Linked DNA regions of Canis lupus familiaris. The protein of the gene in region 1 binds, or shares a complex with, the protein of each later gene. Links are inferred from orthologs where the notes say so. Each region holds a gene or a part of one and is shown in the gene's direction. Other genes may lie near its edges. The genes, in order: GTF2A1, GTF2H5 and POLR2B.

Region 1 (3,752 bases):
ACGAACTTTGACATTTCGTTTTGCTTTGCGAGGAGGATCCACTCCTTCACTTGCCCGGACTACAGTCCACGTCTCTCCAAGTTCCTAGGGGCAGAATTAGGTGCGGCGAGCTCTGCCTTCGAAGCGGAGCACTCCCCGTTCTGCGTGACACGCTGCCCCGAAGGCGGGAGTCGGGAGCAGCGCAGGTCCGGCGCCTCCTGGTTCACACTCCGACACGTGGGCTTCCTCTGCTCGCTCCGGCGGCGAGAGGCCGCGAGACGGGGCGGCCCCACCGAGGTATTTCCTGTCAGTCCCAGGCGCGGGCCATGCGGTCACAGGATTTCGGCAGTTTTTAAAAATCGAGGGGGGACGTTATCGTGCTGTCATAATCCGGTGATATGCAGGTCGGTTTTTTTTTTTTTTTTCTTTTTTTCCTTTCGGCATTTCCACCACGGAAGTACTAGCACGCTAGTAAGGGGCCGAACCTCGGGGAAACTTAAGCCCAGGGCCTTTTAGCTGTACCGGTGGAAACGACTCAGCCGGTTCAGGGGTCATTAATTCTGAAATGTGTTAGCAGCGGGCTCAAAGCAGCTCTCCCCCTTTAGGAACACGTACACGATCTTGCCGGCGAAGGGCCCGGCCTTCGCGACGCGAGAGGAACCGACGCCTCTGAGCGCCGAGTCCACGACGAGCTCACGCCCCGAGATGACTCCGCATTTAAACTCTGCCCGGAGTCCGAGCGCTCCGGGGGCCGGAAGCGGGGCCACGTGACCGGTCCGCCTCCGCAGCCATTGCTAACGAGGCAGCCGCCAGCGCCCCTTCTGTATTTCCTCGCTTCTCCAAGCGCAGGGAGACGCAGAAACACCTGACAAGAGTTGGCTGCCAGGTAGCTTTGGACTTGAGGGTCAACACCACTCATGCTATGTCCAGCGATACTTTGCAAGCCCCTCAGCCTAAAACAGCTGTGGGGCACTTCCGCCTGGGTGGCAACCAGGTGATCACGCGAGACTTGGGGAGCCGGCCGGACGACTCGACTACCCCAGTCCCCGCGCTCCGCCAGCCCAGCACCCTCCGCTGCGCGTGACGACGCGGCCCACGGCGGCCTCCGCCCCGGCGCGCCTGCGCACGCGGCTCTCGCGGTGTCTCGCGCTCAGCCCCGCCCACCTCTGCCCCCGCCCTTTCCGCCCCTCCCTCCCCCTCCGCCCTGTCTCTCGGCGGCAGCGGCGGCGGCGGCGGCTCGCGCAGCTCGTTGGCTCACTATATAAAGGGGAGAAGCGGGCGGACCGGACGGCTGGAGCTGCAGCCGGTGGCGGCAGCGGCGGCGCGGGGAGCGGCGACCGGTGGTGGTTTCCCTCCTTGGCGCGGGGTGGGGAGCGGGCAACGCCCCCCCGGACCCCAGAAGGGTCGTGGCTTTTTTTTTTTTTTTTTTTTTTTTTTTTTTTTTTTTTTAAGGGCGATTCTCGAGGTTTTTAGCTCGGGGAGGACTGCCCCCCTCCTCCTCTTCCTCCTCCTCCTCCTCTCACCGCTCCCCTTCTACTCTTTCAGGATTCGATTTTGTTTGAAATTTTTACCCCCAATCTTGCGGTGGCTTGGGCCACCCTCCGGGTGTTTTGGTTTTCTTTTTTTTCTTTTTGGTTTTTTGTTTTTAATCTTGTTTTCTCGGGGTTGCCCCCCCTCTTGTTTGTGTTGTGTGTGGAAATGGCGAACTCGGCAAATACAAACACCGTGGTAAGGACGTGGTTTGGTGGCCGGCGGGGGCTTCGTCCGGGCGGCAGCAACGGCCGGACCGGGCGGGGGCGGGGACGGCGGCGACTCCCGGCCTCTACTCTCCTCAGCCGCCCGCGCGGCCGCCGCCGCCGCCGCCGCCGCCGCTTCCCGCCTCGGGCGGAGCGGGCCGGGGCGGCGGGCGCGGGGGGGGCGGGGGGAGGGCGCCTCGGGCTGGCGGCGGCGGCGGCGGCGGCGGCGGCGGCGGGAGGAGGGCGGGGGCGCCGGCGGGGCCTGGGGCCGCCGCGGGGCGGTCGGGGCCGCGCAGGCCGTTGGGCCGGGGCGAGCGCGCGGCTCCGGCCGCAGACCCCGGCCGCCGGGAGGGCGGGCGGGCGGGCGTGAAGCCTCCGCTTCCCCCCCTGCGCCCCCCCCGGGGGCCCGGCCGCGCCGGCTCGACACGGGCGCCCCGAGCAGCCTCCACAGACAAAACCCGCGTCTGGGGAATCGGGCGAGTCCCCAGGACCCGCCGTGTGGCCCACTTCAGTGCAGTGGAAGGCGAACGGCTACTTTGGGGGTTACTTGGGATGTTTCTGGCGGTTGTGCTTATTAGGGGGAGCCTTCACTGAGGCCATTTTATATTTCTTAAAAAAAAAAAAAAAAAGGAAAAAGGAAAGAAAAGGACGAAGGTTGAAAAGCACTTATCTCGGTTCCTTCCGAATCGGTAAAATGGCGAAGGGGAAGCAACACCCCCCCCCCCCATCGTATCTTCCACTAGCAAAAGCACCAAAGCAAACAAACAAACAAACAAACAAACAAAAAAGCCTACAGTGGTCCCAGCGCCCCTGCTTTCGCCTTGAAATTTGCCTACGTCTCCCCCCCGCCCCCCCCCCGTTTGTCCCTTTTTGGTTACTTGCGATCACGTAGGTTTGCAAAAAGCAGTCACATAAAAACAACCTTGTCCGTCACCAACGCCAATGCGATCACTAGTCCACCCCACTCTTATTTTTATTCTGACCGTAAAAACACGTTTTTGTTTTTGTTTTTTTGTTGTTTTTTTGTTTTGTTTTTTTTCCCGGTCCCAAACGCCGCAGACGAGCCCGCGGCCGCCCGACTCCGTACCGTTGGCGACTCGGGTCGATCCATCATGGCTGCGGCCGCTTACCCTGCTTTTGAGTCCCTGAGCCTTGTGGTCCTCCTCCCTTTGGCTGCCCTGTTTATATAGAGCCATTGCCGCTCTCTAATATAGACTCTGCCAGGATGGGAAGGTGCTTTTCAGGCCTACGTCACCGCCTCTCCATTTAAACACTAGATCCGGCTTTAAATAGTGAGAGCTGCTGAGAGCGGGGCTGGGAGGTGCGTGCTCCCGAGGCGAGAGGCAGGAGCGAGCCGAGCGCCCGGTTTATATCTAGGTCCTTCAGCTGCCACTGGGATTTCGCGCCCGACGGGGCCGCTTTCGGAGGGGGGGGGGGGTCCCCAAGTTTTTTTGTTTGTTTGTTTTGACGCAGCAGCTAGGGTTTCCTGCCTTTGTTGAGGGGGCGGGGGGGGGGGGAACGCAGAATTGCTGTCCCTTCTTATATTTTTATCTTTGCTTTTAAAGAGGATTGTAGCTCAGAGGTCTGTGGTCATTTTTGTATTGGGAAATGCGTTATTGTTGGGCATTTAAAGAAAACGACAACAGAAACACCGCTTCCTACATTAACTCTGAGCTGCAGGGTACTTGATGACTCTGATAGTGTTTCGTCCATCGAGTATTCAGAAAATGTGTTAGAAATAAAGCTCCTATATGCCATTGTTTTTCTGTAATGTTAGACACAAAGCTTTTTTGAAGATAAAGTGCCTAAAGCTTCAACGTGTGGACCTTATGTCCACAGTGCATCTATTGTATGTAGGGAAATTGTGAGTAATGAGAGGGGAGGCTTAGTGCAAACTGGATTTTTAAAATATTAAAATTCGAAGTTGACGTTGTCTTTTGATTTCATTGGATATTAACGTTCAAGATAGAAGTTAATTTGGTTTATTTTTCCAGTATTCTGCCTCCCCGGGGTGGGGTGTGGGGGGACTGACACTTT
Region 2 (3,053 bases), on another chromosome or scaffold:
GTGTCAGTTCTGATGTGGGCAGGCTTATTTATTTATTCACATCATTTTATAGTGTAGTAAATTGTTTAAAAATCATTGTAATGATAAGTTACTGAAAATAATTAAAATCATCTTTTCAGAAAGACTTGACTTTATTAACAGTTAATATGCCATGAACCATACTCATTTACTGATTGAAATAAATCCTTTACCTTTGTTAGCTTCACTTATACCTAGTTTGTACTTGAAAGAAGTAAAACTTGTTTTTATGTTTTTAGGTAATTACACTGACCTCTTTTGAATTCAGTCATCTTTGTAATGGATGTTGTCATTCCTTAAGAAACCATAAGATTTTATGAAGTTACATTTTCTCTAAGATTTAAAAAAAACTGCAACTTGACATTTTTATATTCATCTTTTGCTAAACACATTATTGTACATTAGGTCTAAAGAGTGTTCTTTGTTGTGATTCAGGGTTTTTACAGCAGAGATATGTTTCTGTAAGGTCTATAAATTTGGGGTTTGTTTGGGTTTTTTTTAGGTTTATGTGCTTATTTGAGAGAGCAAGAGCATGTGCACATTCTCTGGGGGGAGGGGCAGAGGAAAAAGAGAGAATCCTTAAGCAGACTCTACACTGAGCACAAAGCCCAACACGGGGCTTGGTTCCAGGACCCTGAGATCATGACCTGACCTGAAATTAAGAGTTGGACACTTAACCAACTGACCCACCCAGGCATCCCATGTAAATCCTAGAATTTGGATCTCTCTTTTCCTTGTGACTTATTCTATTCATTCCAAACTAAAAATCACAAATAAATAGAATTTGTATCTGTTCTTTGAGCTCAGTATCCTGAAGAAGATTTTGGTAGGATTTCCTTTAAAGATTCTGAGTGAGGGGATCCTTGGGTGGCTCAGTGGTTTAGCACCTGCCTTCGGCCCAAGGCATGATCCTGGAGTCCCGGGATTGAGTCCTGCATCAGGCTCTCTGCATGGAGCCTGCTTCTCCCTCTACCTGTGTCTCTGCCTCTCTCTCTCTCTCTCTCTCTCTCTCTCTCATGAATAAATATTTTTTTTAAAAAAAGATTCTAAGTGAGTTCAAATTTAGGAAGTTCAGAATTTTAAGGAAGGAAGAAAAACTGAGAACCTACTGCAAGCCAAACACCGTCTTTGGAATTACTCTCTTTTAATTTAAAGGAGAATAACTTAATTATTCTCTTTTAATTAATAAACTGTTAATAACAGTTCTGTTATGTGGGCTCATTTTGAGGCTTTAGAGATTAAGTACATAGTAAGGTCACACAAGTGATAAAGCTGGGATTGAATTCAGATCTGACTTTTGCAGGATCCCTGGGTGGCGCAGCGGTTTGACGCCTGCCTTTGGCCCAGGGCGTGATCCTGGAGACCTGGGATTGAATCCCACGTCGGGTTCCCGGTGCATGGAGACTGCTTCTACCTCTGCCTGTGTCTCTGCCTCTCTCTCTCTCTCTCTGTGTGTGTGACTATCATAAATTTAAAAAAAAAAAAAAAAAAAAGATCTGACTTTTGCTGTACACCCTACTTTATCACAGTGACTGCTAAACTGGTTTTGTAAATTAAATTTTTCACTGGCAAGATAGTGAAAAATCTATTGTCTTCTTAAGTGTAATGGTCATGGGCAAGTAAGGAAATTCATTTTTTAAATCAGTTAAGGGAGCTGTGGTTTCTAGGCCCTATTAACTACAAACCTCTGAACATTATTTGTTCACTTGTCAGTGACAAATTACTCTTTTAAAATCTTCTCATTGGCCTCTTTCTCTAAAACTTAAAGGAACAGTTCTAAAATGAAGTCATGAAAAAAATAAAAAATAAAATGAAGTTATGTCTACAAATCATTAATGCTTGAGACAGAGGGAATGACGGATTGAGTTAACAGTTTAGAACTTTTTGAGTTATCCTAAAAATTCTGCATGCCCAATTCTAATTGCTTAGGTATAATTTGATAACACAATGTGTCATTATCATGTGTTTGTCTCTGCAGTGACCCTGCCATGAAGCAGTTTCTGCTGTACTTGGATGAATCAAATGCCTTAGGGAAGAAGTTCATCATTCAAGACATTGATGACACTCATGTCTTTGTTATAGCAGAGTTGGTTAATGTCCTCCAGGAGCGAGTAGGTGAATTAATGGACCAAAATGCTTTTTCTCTTACCCAGAAGTGAAAGTACTCAATATTGACCACTTAGGAATTACAAGTAGCAAATGTGAGAGACTGTCACTATTCAGTGTCCTACATGACAGATTAGACTTAGCTGCTTAGTCGCATATTATGGGAAAAACTGTGATGTCATTTGTTCAGAAAAAAGTCCTTGAAATGATTTTCTTGTTGTTTTTTCGGTACATGTACCCTAGAATTTAAAAAAAAAAAAAGAAAAAAAACTTTAATGATTGTCTGTAATTTGACTTTTACTATCCTACATTAAAATATAAATATAAATGGTTTTCCTACCTTTTTAATACCAATTTAATGCATTAAGAATTTAATGGAATATGCATTTTTCAGTTTAATCTAGGTGTTTGTTTGCTTGTTCCTGCTAATAATTATAGAATTTTATAATCTGGGTGGTGTTCTGTTCTAATTAGAAACTTCACATCAATTATTTAGGTAAGTATACCAAGGTGGGACCTTTGGTAATATTTATGTCTTTATAAATAATATCTGGATACTGGCCAGCTTTATTGATGAAGAAGGAAGGTAGGAAAGAGAACCATGGAACATTAATGTAAGCTACACTTTGCATTTCCCTAAAAATACAGTTTTAAAAGTACAGAGGGCTTGGGCTGCCTGGGCAGCTCATTTAAGCGTCCGACTCTTGTCTCAGGATCATGAGTTCAAGCCCCTTATTGGGCTCCACACTGGGCATGGAGCCTACTTAAAAAAAAAAAAAAAAAAAAAGAAGTGTGGAAGAAATAACCAAATGGTAAAGGGACATGGTGCCTTGCAAGCTTTAGCTTTTCCTTGTTCAAACTTTTTTAGTCACATTTTCCTTTCCCATCAGGGCAAGTGTTTTTTTGTTTAAAAAAAAAAAAATCAGTTT
Region 3 (3,652 bases), on another chromosome or scaffold:
TCATGGTCATGAATGACTGAAGGAATGACACTATTTCCTGTGTCTCAGGATTTTCAAATGCTAATATTTTGAGGTCGCCACCCTCTACTCTTTTTTGGTAAGCAAATACATGTTTGCAATTATAATACAGAAATGTCTAAAGAAATAAACCTATTAATCTTAGGACCCACAAATAACTATTAAAATTATAGTATTTTTTCAGTCTTTATTATTCTTATGCTTTAGTTATTTTATTGACAATCCCAGATACTGGCATATGAAGATTGGTTAAAAACTAGAGATTGAGAAGATGGATTTTTTTTCTGCATAGTGTCAGGATAGAACTAGGACCAGAGAGTGGGCATGATACCTTAATATCATAAACTTCTCACCAGAGATATTGGAGCAGATCCTGAATGACCTTCTCTGGGGGTTATTAGGGAAGGGATTCTTCTTTTAGGTAGGAGGTTGCAGTTGTGACCTTAGGTCCTTCCTGTTCTCACATATAATCCAGCTGTGTTAAGATACAGATCAAATGCTACGTGTGTGGCGCATATAATACCATTTAAGACTTGACTTTGACTCTTGATACAGTTAACTCTTATTTTAGATTCATGGTTAAATTGTCTCCCAAATATCAAAGTAAAAATGATTGGTATATTCTAACCTCTATTATAAAAGGAAAATAGAAGTTACCTTTACAACCATGCATTTTTAGGTCTGTCTTCTATCGATCATATAAAGAACAGGAATCTAAGAAAGGATTTGATCAAGAAGAAGTTTTTGAGAAGCCAACTCGCGAAACATGCCAGGGTAAGTGATACTGACATTTAAAATAATGGAATTTAAAGTTAACTCACCATGTTTTTCCTAATTAGTACCTCCCCCTTGCCCCCCTCCACTATTTTTAGAGCTGATATATAAGAAAATATGTGTGTTTGCCAAAAGTCTTTACACATAGGAGTTGGCTTGTTAAGATCCTTCCATCCTGGTAGATCTGCATCGAAGAGGGTTTTATTTATTTATTATTTTTTTTTCTTATTTTTTTATTTTTTTATTTATTTATGATAGTCACACAGAGAGAGAGAGAGAGAGGCAGAGACACAGGCAGAGGGAGAAGCAGGCTCCATGCACCGGAGCCCGACGTGGGATTCGATCCCGGGTCTCCAGGATCGCGCCCTGGGCCAAAGGCAGGCACTAACCCGCTGCGCCACCCAGGGATCCCCCGAAGAGGGTTTTAGAACATCACAGAGGTCATATAATTTCATGGGATACAGTACTCCTGTACTGTGAACTTTTCACTCAATTTATGTATTTGCATGGGAACTCCCTTCCCTCTCCACATTGTAGTGTGTCCATAATATTTGTCTAGCCACCATATTTGTATACATTTAACAGATAAAGGGATACCTGGCACTTTTTTTTGTTTAGAAAACTCAAACTTATTGTCTAGTTACTATTTTCATAGACACTTAAAAACTATGTATGCAGTGGGATGGATGGGCTGTCCCAGGGAAATGTATGTATCTGCTACAGTTTTGACCTCTAATGGTATTGTGTGAAGTAAAATGTGTCTTGTTTTTTAAGTCATCTTTCTGTTATCCTATAGAAATAGAGCCATTGTGGGTGGTTCTATGTAGTAGTGAATTGATGTCCAGTGGAGTTAAGATTATGTAAGATGAAATTCAAAATTTCTTTGAGAGGATGTGTGTAGAGAGCATATTCTTTTTCTTTTCTTTCTTTTTTTTAAGATTATTTCAATGAGAGAGTGTGAGTGTAGGAGGGAGGGGCAGAAGAAGGAGAGAGAAAGCCAAGCAGACTCCCAGTGGCAGAGCAGGATGCAGGGCTTGATCTCACTACTCTGAGATCAGAACTGAGCTGAAACCAAGAGTCAGATGCTTAACCGACTGCACAACCCAGGCCCTCTGAGATCAGAAGATGGCAACACCCTTATCCAAAGTCATAGACATTTTGATTTTCCAGTGTTAGTCCAGTACTTTTTTAGAATTCAGAATAGTTTGTAGGATTTGGAGTAAGAGCATTGTATTATTATTACACATAGCTCATGGTGTTAAAGATTCCTATGAACTTCTCTCTGACTTGGAACTGATTCAGGATTTGGTTTTAATCTTTTGGGGGGATTATGTGACTTTTTTTTTTTTTTAAGATTTTATTTATTTATTAGAATGAGAGACCACAAGTTTGGGGGGGGGAGGGCAGGGAGAGGAGGAGAAGCAGATTCCCTACCATGCAGGGAGTCCATCATAGGGCTCAATCCCAGGACCCTGATGTCATGACCTGAGCCAAAGGCACTTAACCAGACTGAACCACCCGGGTGCCCCGGGTTATGTGACATTTTAAATACTTTATATAGTAGTACCATTTCAGAAAATTCTGTGTCTGTTTCCTCATAGGTATGAGGCATGCCATTTATGACAAGCTGGATGATGATGGTTTGATAGCTCCTGGAGTCCGTGTATCAGGAGATGATGTTATTATAGGCAAAACAGTCACCTTGCCTGAAAATGAAGATGAATTAGAGGGCACTAATAGGCGCTATACCAAGAGAGACTGTAGCACATTTCTTAGAACTAGTGAGACTGGCATTGTGGATCAGGTTATGGTAACTCTCAACCAGGAAGGATATAAATTTTGTAAAATAAGGGTGAGTATAGCTTTTTCATACTGCTTTTTATAAAAAGTAAACCAGTTTGACTTAAGTTAATTAACCTATTTTTGTATGAATTCAGGTCCGCTCTGTTAGAATTCCACAGATTGGAGACAAATTTGCTAGTCGACATGGTCAAAAGGGTACTTGTGGTATTCAGTACAGACAAGAGGTAGGTATCTCTTATTTCCCTCACCTTAACCCACAGTTTAACATTTTACAGAATCAAAATTTGCTTTAACTTAAAAGTGCAGAGATGATAGAGGCTTGACTTTTTAATTTTGAGTAAGTAAATGAATAGAGCATGTTGAACAGAATTGAGGACATAGGAAACTTCAGAAAGGGGAGGATCCATTTCAGTTTCATAGTTAAGAGAGTTACGTTTGTCTCCTTTAAAAAATTTCTTCCTAGGACATGCCTTTTACCTGTGAGGGTATCACCCCTGATATCATCATAAATCCCCATGCCATTCCCTCTCGCATGACTATTGGTCACTTGATTGAATGTCTTCAAGGGAAGGTAAGAAATATTCTTTAAAAATATATGTTCCAAACTGATGTTTCTTCCAAAATGATGATAGGTGATTCTCTCATATTTGAGTCAGGGTTCTTTTTTGGAAAAAAGATTGTATGATACTTACTTTCCTGCTTTTATTTATTCATACATTTTGTAAAGATTTATTTATTTATTCATGAAAGACACAGAGAGAGAGGCAGAGACATAGGCAGAGGGAGAAAGAAACAGGCTCCCCACAGGGAGCCTGTTGCGGGACTCAGTCCAGGATCCCAGGATCGTGCCCTGAGCCTAAAGCGGGCACTCAACTGCTGAGCCACCCAGGCGTCCCACTTTCCTGCTTTTAATTTTTTTTCTTTTTCCTGCTTTTAATTTGTAAGTTGGTTATGATTGTGTGTTTCTTCCCCCAGCAAAAATTTGTGAGGTTTTGGCTAAGTCAGAATTTTTATTAAATTTACTACATCCAATCTCTACATACATCTATTATTATCT

The links.
Region 2: GTF2A1 (region 1) and GTF2H5 share a complex: the UniProt entries of both Homo sapiens proteins name them as parts of the TBP-based Pol II pre-initiation complex. The link is inferred for Canis lupus familiaris from reciprocal best matches to the Homo sapiens genes GTF2A1 and GTF2H5.
Region 3: GTF2A1 (region 1) and POLR2B share a complex: the UniProt entries of both Homo sapiens proteins name them as parts of the TBP-based Pol II pre-initiation complex. The link is inferred for Canis lupus familiaris from reciprocal best matches to the Homo sapiens genes GTF2A1 and POLR2B.

What each region holds. Positions count from the first base shown.
Region 1 is NC_049229.1:53,872,767-53,876,518, reverse strand, and holds the start of GTF2A1 (transcription initiation factor IIA subunit 1), read left to right. Parts: upstream 1-1,471; 5' UTR 1,472-1,677; coding exon 1,678-1,707; intron 1,708-3,017; exon of another isoform or gene 3,018-3,036; intron 3,037-3,752. UniProt on the Homo sapiens protein: TFIIA is a component of the transcription machinery of RNA polymerase II and plays an important role in transcriptional activation. TFIIA in a complex with TBP mediates transcriptional activity.
Region 2 is NC_049222.1:48,174,949-48,178,001, forward strand, and holds the end of GTF2H5 (general transcription factor IIH subunit 5), read left to right. Parts: intron 1-1,996; coding exon 1,997-2,177; 3' UTR 2,178-2,472; downstream 2,473-3,053. UniProt on the Homo sapiens protein: Component of the general transcription and DNA repair factor IIH (TFIIH) core complex, which is involved in general and transcription-coupled nucleotide excision repair (NER) of damaged DNA and, when complexed to CAK, in RNA transcription by RNA polymerase II.
Region 3 is NC_049234.1:49,890,608-49,894,259, forward strand, and holds part of POLR2B (DNA-directed RNA polymerase II subunit RPB2), read left to right. Parts: intron 1-697; coding exon 698-792; intron 793-2,393; coding exon 2,394-2,644; intron 2,645-2,729; coding exon 2,730-2,819; intron 2,820-3,058; coding exon 3,059-3,166; intron 3,167-3,652. UniProt on the Homo sapiens protein: Catalytic core component of RNA polymerase II (Pol II), a DNA-dependent RNA polymerase which synthesizes mRNA precursors and many functional non-coding RNAs using the four ribonucleoside triphosphates as substrates.